Schizosaccharomyces pombe: one gene and its partners. Changing the gene in region 2 together with the main gene of any one other region gives a genetic interaction. Each region holds a gene or a part of one and is shown on either strand. Other genes may lie near its edges. The genes, in order: gmh6, rxt2 and med13.

Region 1 (3,759 bases), 4.0 Mb from region 2:
GGATCGAACCAATCATGGCCTTGCTTTTCTGTGATAATCTTGCCATACTTTTCAAAATTTTGTGCACATGTCTGAAAGACAAAGCACCCAGCAAAATGAACACATAAATCACCGTCTTCATATCCCCAAGCAGGATCAGAAGAATCATATGCGTTTATTGAACGAAGAGTAACTAGCCCAACATGTTTATGCACAATGGGATGACTATATATCATATGAGAAAGGGCTTGTTGTTCGACAAATACACCATTATGTTCTTTATAAAGTGGTTCATTCCAAAAATCCAGCATCCATGTTCCTACTTCAGAATTCCTTATTAAAAAACTGCCAGCATTAATGCCATTAAAATCTTGAGCAATGATAAAATGTATATCATCAGGGTCTTGATTTTTAGGTGTTCGGAATCCTTCAGAGTCAATGCCAAATCCACTAAAATATTCGGTGTCGCGCAATAAAAGAGAATTTAGCTTTTCATGCTTCAAAATGTGATCAACCAGATTCAAATCACGATTCATAATTAAAGCATCGTGATCCAACCACCATACCCATTCAGCATCTGGATATTTTCTAATCACATTTTTAATCATGGGAATTTTAGCCCAAGGGGCAGGCTTGTCGCCAATTGAAGGTTTGTACTCATCTAAATCTAAAAATTCAAACTTAAAACCATGACGTTCTGCATAGTCGCGGCGATTTTTAATAATCGTTCTAATATAAGGATTTAAGGGTGAGGAAGGGTCATTTTGGGCATTGGAACCCATCAAAAGGACTATCTTAGAATTTTCAGGATGAGGATTAAGTGTGCTTAACTCTTGAGCTGTGGCAGTAACCGTTGGGGTTACTGTCGTAGTTTCTGTAACAAAAGACGTAGATGTAATCGTTTCGCTGACACTGGTGTGTAATGGCTCTGTGTAAACGATAGTAGTTGTTTCGTAAACTGCATTCAAAATTGAAGAATGTTCATTTAAGAAAAGTTGTACTTTCTGGTCGAGCCTAGTACCAAGGGTAGCATTCCACCATACTCCAGAAATAGCAATTATGCTGAGGATCACTGCTGGTATAACATAAGAATACCAACGCATTGTAAGTATGTAAGAGAAATTAGAATTGACCAATCCTTGGATAAATAAATATGTTCAAAGTAATGAAAAAATACCAATGATAATAAAAATGATAGCGAAGAAAAGAAAGAGCGGTGTAAATATCCTTCTTTAAAAATTGATGCAATAAAAGCTAAGATTTCTTATAAAATACTTAGCCTAAACTAAGATGTTAGATAAGTTCAGAATGTGAGAGGTAGATGTTCGTAGGCACTTCACAGCACACACATGCTCACAATAGCAGGCGAGACAATTTAAAGTACCTTTTTAATCTTATCGTTTACTAACACCAAAAAATATACCCTATTTACCCAAAGCAATAATCACCAAGTGTCCTGAAAGAGTGTATGTCAAATATAATGAACGTAGCGGTAAAGTGGAGATACAAGGTTTTATAGAGAGTGACCTATAAAAAATAAAATAAACTTTCGACCGATTCTCGTGTTACCATTCAGTTAAGTGCTTTAGAGGAAAGCTACTAAAACTTTTGATGTAGTTATAATGAAGGGAAGGAAAGCATGTACGCGTTGAAATTTAGTACATTTCAAATAAGTATATACGCTATGACTCACTATTCCTTATAATATATTAGCATAACTACACTACGTAATATGCGCTACGTTACAGTATCACTATATGCCATATGTTGGATTATCAGTTAAGATATGTTTATCAATAATTATATATAACTATCTTTATACACATGGATTCCCATTGTTAAAATATTTTAGAAAGATTATTAAATAGAGCTACATGAACTGAGGAGCGAGATTTAGTTATAAGCAGTATTAGTGACAGGTAACTATATAACCTACTTAACAGAATACCTATACTTATGGTACTTATATTATCTTCTTATTGCAATATAATAGATCACAAGGAAAACTCACTGCAGTACTATCGTTAAAACAGATACCAAAATGCATCGCTAACTTAATAAATATCGTAATGAAGCAAGAAGAATTCTCGATATATCAAACGTTTGTGATTAACGAGATTCTAAACGTTGTAAAACCTCGTTATACTTCAATTTTGATGCTTTTTCTTCTGCTGCATTGGCAAACATTTTTCTGAAGTGCTTGGATTTTTAAATTAAAATGCAAAGCGTCGCTTTCAATTTATCGGTTTCACTTTTTATTGTTGTATAATTTTTTGAGAAGAATATTAGTCTAACCTTTAGTTTGCACAATCGGAATGTAAGTATCAATAAATTAAGATTCTTTAATATATCTGTTGGAATCGTTCTTTTTTTTTTGGATGCACTACACCTTAAATTTTTAATATATATGCGATAATTGTACTCAGAAAAGCAAATGATAGCATTTTGGAATTCGCTTCAGACCTTACAGAGACTATTCAAAGTATTCTTGGAATTTAAGTTTGCAGCTTCGAAGAAAGTCGTAACTATTTTCTAGAACTGATTTTTTATTTCATGATAACGTTAAAATTTGCCCAGCAATAACTGTATTTTTGTGTACTTTACCAATAGCAATTTAGATTTTAACTAGCAAATCAAAGAAATATGGAGTTGTTGTCCTTCTCCATGCTTAATATTGCAGCCATATTTATTCTTTACTAACTCATCACCTAGCGATGTTTCGATTCCGTGTCTTTAGCTAAAAAATTGTTATGGTATAAAGATTCACGGATCGGCCGTTAAAATTATTCAATTACTTAACCAATAGAAAGGCCCCAGATTCGATTGCTATACCACTACATATTCGTTTACAATAATACAATATTACGGTTGAAGTATTTTTAAACAGCCAATCATTTTTTTTATTTTCAAAGCAATTTTGTTTAAGAGAATAAGACAGAATATTATTTCATAGTAAAAGTATATAATTATATTCTAATATACCGATATTGTAATGACGATAAATTATTTTTTAAACTAATTTATGGCATGTTGATAAAGCCAATGAAGGGACTGAGTAAATTGTATACCTCAAGCAAAAATTCGCTAAGCAAACGACAACTTCATCATAACCTGATGTTGAGTATGTTGTTGACGAGTAATCCCTTGTTTAATTTTTGTAAAACAACCGGATATCGGAAATATAGCAAAGGGATGAGAGCGATGGTACAAAAGTTGAGGTGCCACATTGGAACAATATTTAGTCATTATCCGAAATTTGTTATCCGTTTTTTAATTCCGGATGACATCTAAATGAATTGGGAGTTAATAGCCACTGACACGTACACTATAGAGTTAGTACTTGATTAAAAAAAAGTAAGAGAAATAGAGCAATCCTCAACCTTGTTAACTTTTCTTATGAGGTGTTAGCATTAATTCTTGTGTTCAGTCTTGCGCTCATGTCCGTTACTTGTGTAAAAATGTACGATATGTCGTCCCATATTAGTAAATGCCATGAATTATCATCCATCACTGATACCAAAATAAACGGTGATGATGAATTCAACAAATTCAAAATATCGTTATACACTGGTACTCATAGCTATTCTGTTTCCCTAGTGGAACATGTTATTCTCTTTCCTTCTCATATCTCTCGTAATGTGACGTCAAATTATAATATTCGTGTAACGAAACCAATCAGCAACCAGCCTTTCAATCAACCAATCACATAATACCTATATGGTCGAAAAATATGATAATATTGCTTTAAAAGTCATAATAGTTTTGGATGAGCGAGTTCAA
Region 2 (3,759 bases):
GTCAAACAATAGTTCTGATGGTTTCAGGTTTTTAAAGATTGATGTTTACTTGAATATGTTTTGCGATAAATCCTTGTAATCTTGTTGTTTCAAGCACTTACATTGTTCTAACAAAAAGAAGGTTGGGCAATTTCACAACAAATAACAATTTTAATACTTTGGGGAAATGAAAAAGCAAAATAAAGGATAAGTAATGTATTAACATACAAATGGCAAGCACATGTTAGTCGGTTGATTGAACGAAAAAATATACAACAGTGATAAATGAAATTATGTAACAGCAAACGTAAACGTACTTCCCTTGGAAAGAATAAGTAGAAAAAAGTGTGGATAGAAATTAGGATAGCCAAAGGGAATATGTAAGTAGCAGTATCTCAAATTATAAGACAAAGTTTCTAATAGCTGGGGATGCCAAGCTTGAGAAAAAACCCAACGTTATGAAAAAGTAAAAGAAATAATTAAGTTTCATTGCAGAAGAAATCACCAAAGACGTTTTAAAAAAGGATAATTCTATTTTTATAATGTCGTAAAAAGGAATTGTAAATCGAATGGAATAAAGAATAATATTCTCAACGTTTTATTTTGCTGACTTATACGCTTCATCAGCTTCAAAATAATGAAATTGAAAAGATTGATGAGAAATCAATAAATTTTAGGAATTTGGTTTTCCATCACTCTCATTTTTAGACAAAACTTGGGTATTACCATTATAGTCTTCACCTTGGCAGTAAGCAATGACTTTGTTTTTAAAACGAATGGCCCGAAGAAGGTCCATGCGAACGTTTGTCCAGCATCTAATAAACTCCTTGCTTTTTTCCAAAGCTTCTTGAACTGTGATCGTCAATTCTCTACACTGTTCAGGAGAAATCCCAAACACTTCATGAGGTGGTCCTGGTAGTGATGGGTCATCACCTAAAAGTGCAACCATCAATTGTTCGAGATGAGCAGTATATTTGTGTTCAGCAGATATAATTTCAAGAGCAGAAGAAGCAAGGATTGATAAATAATTTTGTTCAAATATGGAAGATATAGCAGGATGTGTGAGCAAGTCTTGTGGTTTTGTCAGCGGTGACATGATCTCTATAATTTTTACTGAGTTAGCAAGCGATCGATGTATATGACCATGATTGGCGAGTGCTGATAACTAATATTTCAATTCAATTCATAATCAATCTTTGAAAACACAACACGAAATCTCCAAAAGCACAATGAATCAAAAAAATTGTATGTCTAACATAACTAAGTGTGTGTACGACTTACCAGCTATGTTTATATCGTTATATGGGTTATCATGGTCCAACCATTCCGGATCTATTCTCCTTCGAAAATGAGAGACAACTCCTCTTTTAGTATTACCAATGTTATAGTACTATAAAGTAGTGGTTAGCAGTTTACGATTCCCAATTACTCACACATACATCAATGTCTATAGAGGAGCCACTAGAGTTACCGACGCAACCATAATATACATTTTTCGATCCTTTCTTTCTTTTTAATCCACGATTTGTAAGTGCCTCTCCAATGGAAGAGTCGGAATCCGAGGCTATACGAGATGTTAGTGAAAATTATAAATCTCATTTTGACAATAATTACCATCAGAATCTTCAAATAACGCCTGCTTAAACCTTCTAAATTTGTTAGAAAAATACATAATACGTGACATTCATAAAAACCTACTCAATTTGTTCTTCAAATTGCTTCATGGTTTTTGGCACGTCAGATATTCATACTTACTCAATCCAGTACAAATTAGCGATTTCTATCGCATTATAGCGTTTACATAAAATGCGAAAATAACCTGGCGTAAGTTGGGTTACTTATTCAATTTATAAATAAATAGTATTGAAACAAAAATATACATTGTTTTAATCGTTAGAGGTAAGCTGCTAGTATTCTTGAATAATAAGAAAAATCCCTTTCCGCAGGTAGGGCCTGGTTTATTTTGCTTTCTCGATATTCCTTTTCCAATTTTTACATGGATGGAAAGACCAGCTTTTTAACTTAAAAAAATATTTAAAAAAAATAATTAATCCATAGAGAATAATGTATTATTATGGAACTTTTATATTCTCACACTTTTTCTCCTACAAACTTATGTCGTTATAATGAAACAAATTGCTATAGTTTTCTTGGAAGAAGTGTAAATATTAAAAGGAAATTTCCAATTCAAAGATGTGGAAAGCATTAAAAAACATCCTTCCATTCTATTGAAAATTTTAAACAATTTGAAAATACCTCGAGTTTGGATTTGCTTTTTTGAAACTAGCGTTCGTCAAAAATAATAAGTAAATAAATAAAAATTTAAAATCTCGTAAAATTCTTACCAATTAAAACCTACTTAGTTTTTAAGCAAAACAAATGAGCAGAATAGTTAAACAACATTTAATTTTTATAAAAAAAGGAACTAATGGTGACAATCATGTATAAAGTCAATGAAAAATATGGCTCATCTGTTGTTGTTAAACAGATTTCAACTCAAATGAAAATTTTAGGATGGTAGTCGCAATTAGAAATTAAAGACAAACACTTAATTGTAAAATCTCTCAATACTATATAGTTCATTCAATCGCAGACAGCTCGATTCCAGAAGAATGTATATGTTTTGATACGAATGAGCGAATACAAGATTTAATGGCCGTTGAAGATTTTATTAATAAGAATGAATTAGTAGAAATTTTTTAACATTTAAAAAGTAAATTCTATGTATTTTCCCTTTTCTATTGATGTCCATCGTTTGTTTGTATATTAGGTAGTCGATTTGTTTGTTTACATTCTCGCCAACAATTGGTATTCAAATAACCAGCTTGGCGCAGACTTTTCCTCTACCACAAATATTTACAGCATAAAAAAAATCCAAAATTGAGAGCCTAACTGTTGTTTTCGACTTCTTATCATGTCTTATGAGGGCCGTGAAGAACGACCTGAGCAGATTGCTGAACCTACTTTCGAAAATGTGTCGGAACACAATGAACATGATTCGGGATCTGCTGAGGCCCAGGTGGAGACACTGGAGGTGCCATTGAGCAACGAAACCGACAATGATGATGCCACTGAAAACGCTGTTCCTGCAGAAGTACAAGCACCTGAGGAACCCAAGGAGCCTGAAACAGTCGACAATATCGATCCTGCAGATGATGATCCAAACAGCGTGGCAGCTCCCAAGGTTGAAGAAAAAAAATCCAAGAAGAAAGCCAAGGATGAAAAACCATTGACCTACACCACTGGTGGGTATTTATACTGTCGATCCAACGGACTTATTCCGTAAGTCAAAACAGCATCCATTTATTAAAAATCAAACAATCGATTGAGTAATCTTACTAACCACATGTAGTCATGTCATGAAAAGGTATTTTTATATGCTAGAAGGCCCTATGTCTATGGATTTATTAGACCATTATTATAAAAAACACTTCCATGGTACTTTGCAAGGTAACCCAACGGAACCTTCCTTAGCTTCTGAGCAAATGCACGACTCTGATGCTGATTCCCTCTTCCAGTCTGCTAATGATCACCTTAACCGTATCGCTAAAGCTACTCAAGACTGCCGTGGTTTACTCTTTTACTCCAAATCTCAATCAACTAGTGTCCCAAGCGGAATCATTAATTTGGTAAGAATTCCTAATTCCCCTGATTTTTAGTTTTAACCGTGCTAACTGTATTTTCAGACTGATGCAGTATCCATAGAACCCGGTACTGGAAACAAATTCACCATCAATTTTAACAATGGTAAATCAGAAACACTTGAAGCCCTAGACCCAG
Region 3 (3,759 bases), on a different chromosome or scaffold from region 2:
TAATTTGAATCGGGGTTACTTTGTTCTGAGATATTAGTGGGTGTTTTAGAAGATGAAAAAAAATCGTGATTATACTCCATTGTAAAATCTTGTTGTATAAAGTTTGTAGAGCAGATGTCTTCATCTGTACTAGTTACCGATTCAGCGACCGAAAATGATTCAAATAAATCTTCAGTTGACAAAGAAGGAGAAGGGCACCAATATTTACCACCATAGTTATACTTCTGAAAAATACTGGAGATAGACGAGGGAAAAATTACCGCAGAATAGTATGAAGGCATATACGCAGATGTAGGGATTTTAGAATCTGAAATATTTAAAGAAATTTCAGGAATATCAACTTCGACGTTGTATGGATTTAAATCTTCGGTTACCATTCTATCATCCGATTGAATTTCCATTTGCTTTGGAATATTTTCGTGAGTATTCAAATTTGGACTGGTGTTTGATTGAGAGATGGAAGTGTTGATTTCCTCATTATCTAAGGTTGTCATAGTATTTGCAAAATTAGGCTCAATCATCTCAACTTTTTCTTCAACGTTAGGTAAGTCAAAGTAATCAAAATCAGCCTCTGTTATTCCAACATCGTCTATTTCCTCCATTAGTATGTCATCTGAAACATTATGATCAGCAACAAGTATCTCTTCATTTACTTTTATTGAAGCAGGTGTAGATTTTGCAGAATTTATCGAATAATTAACGGGAGAAGAACTATGAGAAGGAACCAAGGTTACAACGGCATCAGCAGTCTCTTCCTTTTCTGTAAAACCTTCTTTTCTTTTATCTGAAGCTTCCGCTTCTTCATTTGCGAACTCAGTTAATTCCTTTTTATTGTTTACGACGTTTGAAGGGAGGACTAGGTTATTCAAATCTGTAAGGTTGCTAGATAATGAATCATCATTCATTCGAAGGGCCGACGTTTCCAAAAAGCAAAGTTCTAAAGGCCAGGAAAATTCTAATGCCGAAGATTCTAAGGTAACACCCACCCACTTTGAAGTAGTCGTAAGAGAGAATCCATAGCGGTGTTTCAATGCATCAACAGTTTGAGCAGATGCGTTGGCATGCACAGAGGTTAATGTTGCCAAACAACCAGTCGGGGCTAAACGAATGACAGTGTCTAACTTTTTAACCAAATTATCCACTTCCGACAAACGATATACCGTCTGCCTTGTAGGCTTTAAGTAAAATTCTATATGGCCTTTCGATAAGACAGAAAGCTGTAAATCCACAACAGGATATCCATATATGTTCCAGAGCTGGGTATCGAAAGAAGGGTGTAATTTTAAAGGAAGAAGGACACCATAAATTGGAACAAAGTTGTATTCTTTGCACAGCCAATACAACACCGTTTTTTTCAATCCTTGAAGAAAGTTTATATACAGGTCTAATAGAAGAGCTAATTCATCTTTTTGAAAAAGAGCTAATCTGGAAAATGCACCTGAATTAAGTAGCATAAAAGAAGATGATTCCTCAGGAATAGATGGAATGGCTTGAAAATCATATACAAAAAGTAAGTCATTCTTCGCGTGAACAATGCAATCCTGATTTCGTAGATAAGCTTCTTTGTCTTCTAAGAGGGAAGCAGCATCCTCATTGTCCTTTCGCTGAACCTGATACTTCGCATAATATATAGTGTTAGGGCAAGGCTGATCAGTTAGCTTTTAATTTATCATGTTATAATAGAAATAATTACAATTGTTTTAATACTAATTAGATGAACTCCATCATGTACCATGGCAGAGGATAATGGCAGATTATTATATAAGAGGAAGTAGCTAGCGTACACGCGTAAAGAAAGCACATGCGGCCACTGTCTCATTTTAACATATTTCTTAAAACACACCTGATACTTTTACTGTTAATAATAAAATAAACAAACATTAAACTAACGGTTTAGTATGCAAATAAGCATAAATGCTTCGAAATTGATGAAGGAAATATATACTGACATATAATGTTTATATTAATCCCGTAATGACCGCTATTTTAATAAAAAAAGAATGCTCCGCCTTAAATTCCTATCCTTACTTTACAAATAATTAAAATGAATGAAAGTGTAGCAATAAAGGTCCAACACAATTGCAACTCCTTCAGGTAATATGTATGAACCTATCCCTCAGTATAATGTTAGTTAAACATTACATTCCCTTAAGACTCCTCTTGAATGATGGTTTAAACAACTCATGAGTGATGGCATCTGAAAAGTGAACGAGAAGATTACAGAGAAATTGGGATTCCCCAATCAGTTTTAACAGATACACTCATTGCTTATAAAGTTATAATAAGAAGGAAAATTTTTAAATAAATAAACTAGTTGTCAAGCGTTTTTTACTCATCATCCGAATCGACATCAACTGAATCAGAATTTTCAGACGAACTTTTTTCGATTTCGGTTTCATCTTCTGACTCAGTGTCTAGAGCACGAGCATCAAAGCTGTTTTTAGAAAAGCCCAATTTTTTGGCGAACAAATTCAACTCATTTGCAAACTAAAACAGAGGATATTAGAACCTTTTGAAAGAAGTAATTAAGAAACATCGATATTGACTTACAGCATCAGTCCCATCCTTCTTGGGTTGTTTACGATTGGGTTCTTCGAATTCCAACTCTTCATCGCTTTCTACATCTTCAATCAGCTCCAGATCCTCTTCGGTACCTCCGAGTTCTTTAATATCATGGAGTAAACCATACGATTGCTTTCTTTTCCGATTCGCTTTAGGCTTTTCCAATGATGATTTGGGTTCCTTAGGACCAACGGAACTTTTATGTTTATCAATAGTTTTGTTTTCCTCTGTTTTGTTTTTTAGTGATCTAGCAGAAGAATTTTCCACAACTTTTGAATTTTTTTTCATGTCCCTCTCGACGACATCCTTGATATCTGAAAATAAAGACAAATCCATATTATGATTTATGTCAAATAAAATAAATACAATCTTTTGTCGAGTTTATCGATTATTAGAGGATGTGAAAATCCAACGCAAAATAGAAAAGTGTGTATGCAGAATTAATGCTTGGTATAGTAGAAACAACAGAATATTTTCTCCTACTACAATATAGGTAGAAATTTGAAGAAATTGCACGCTTTACCACTTAATCTAACAATTTCGCTAAGCACACTATTGATGGTATTGGTGTAAACTCTTTAGAATTAGCAAACTTAGTGACAAGTGAAAAGGATGGGCGGTCTAACAAAATTTTCGAGTTATTTTCATTCCATTTTCTCCCGCTTCCCTTTAATAACGTTTTCTAATCCTTACCCGGGCGAAAATGAAGATTACAAAACGAAAACAGTCATGTATTTGACTATGTGGAATTCCGACTTGAACTCAGAGGCTCTGGACGTTAATAGTCTTCAATGGCAAACCTGGGCAAAATTAAACGACCCTTCAATTGTTTTTTTAAATGTGTCTAACCACGCCTCTCCAGATGAGAAAGTACCTTTTATTCAAATTGAATCTCGAAAATTAGTCCTCAATCCATCTCTTTTACAATATTTTTTAAAGGATGAGTCAACACTGCAGCAAATCTCTCCTTGGATGAGTTTGCTGATAAATCAAGTAGAAACGGCAATTCTCTTAACTATGTATTTGGACAACGAGAACTTTTCTGAAATTCAAAAAAAATGGTTACCTAACATGTCTTGGCCTTTAAATATTATTAAATCAATCGGGTTACCTTCTCAAATTAAACGAAAAATTTGTCTTCAGTTGAACGAATCAACTCTTGATTTTGATGCGGTACGTTTAATAATTTTTGATAGC

The links.
Region 1: of rxt2 (region 2) and gmh6, changing one enhances a phenotype caused by changing the other (phenotypic enhancement), as found in Schizosaccharomyces pombe (2 studies listed by BioGRID, with this or other methods).
Region 3: of rxt2 (region 2) and med13, changing one enhances a phenotype caused by changing the other (phenotypic enhancement), as found in Schizosaccharomyces pombe (2 studies listed by BioGRID, with this or other methods).

What each region holds. Positions count from the first base shown.
Region 1 is NC_003423.3:4,408,107-4,411,865, forward strand, and holds the start of gmh6 (alpha-1,2-galactosyltransferase), read right to left. Parts: upstream 1,601-3,759; 5' UTR 1,083-1,600; coding exon 1-1,082.
Region 2 is NC_003423.3:451,337-455,095, forward strand, and holds the start of rxt2 (Clr6 and Rpd3L histone deacetylase complex subunit Rxt2), read right to left. Parts: upstream 1,710-3,759; 5' UTR 1,704-1,709; coding exon 1,678-1,703; exon of another isoform or gene 1,629-1,677; coding exon 1,594-1,628; exon of another isoform or gene 1,544-1,593; coding exon 1,419-1,543; intron 1,370-1,418; coding exon 1,261-1,369; intron 1,081-1,260; coding exon 653-1,080; 3' UTR 1-652. Other genes in the region: pleckstrin homology domain protein Meu6, read left to right, coding at 2,894-3,261, 3,332-3,608, 3,666-3,759.
Region 3 is NC_003424.3:3,096,933-3,100,691, forward strand, and holds the start of med13 (mediator complex subunit Med13), read right to left. Parts: upstream 1,736-3,759; coding exon 1,694-1,735; intron 1,659-1,693; coding exon 1-1,658. Other genes in the region: protein Noc12, read right to left, coding at 2,329-2,487, 2,551-2,898; mtx2 (metaxin 1), read left to right, coding at 3,175-3,735. UniProt on the Schizosaccharomyces pombe protein: Component of the srb8-11 complex. The srb8-11 complex is a regulatory module of the Mediator complex which is itself involved in regulation of basal and activated RNA polymerase II-dependent transcription.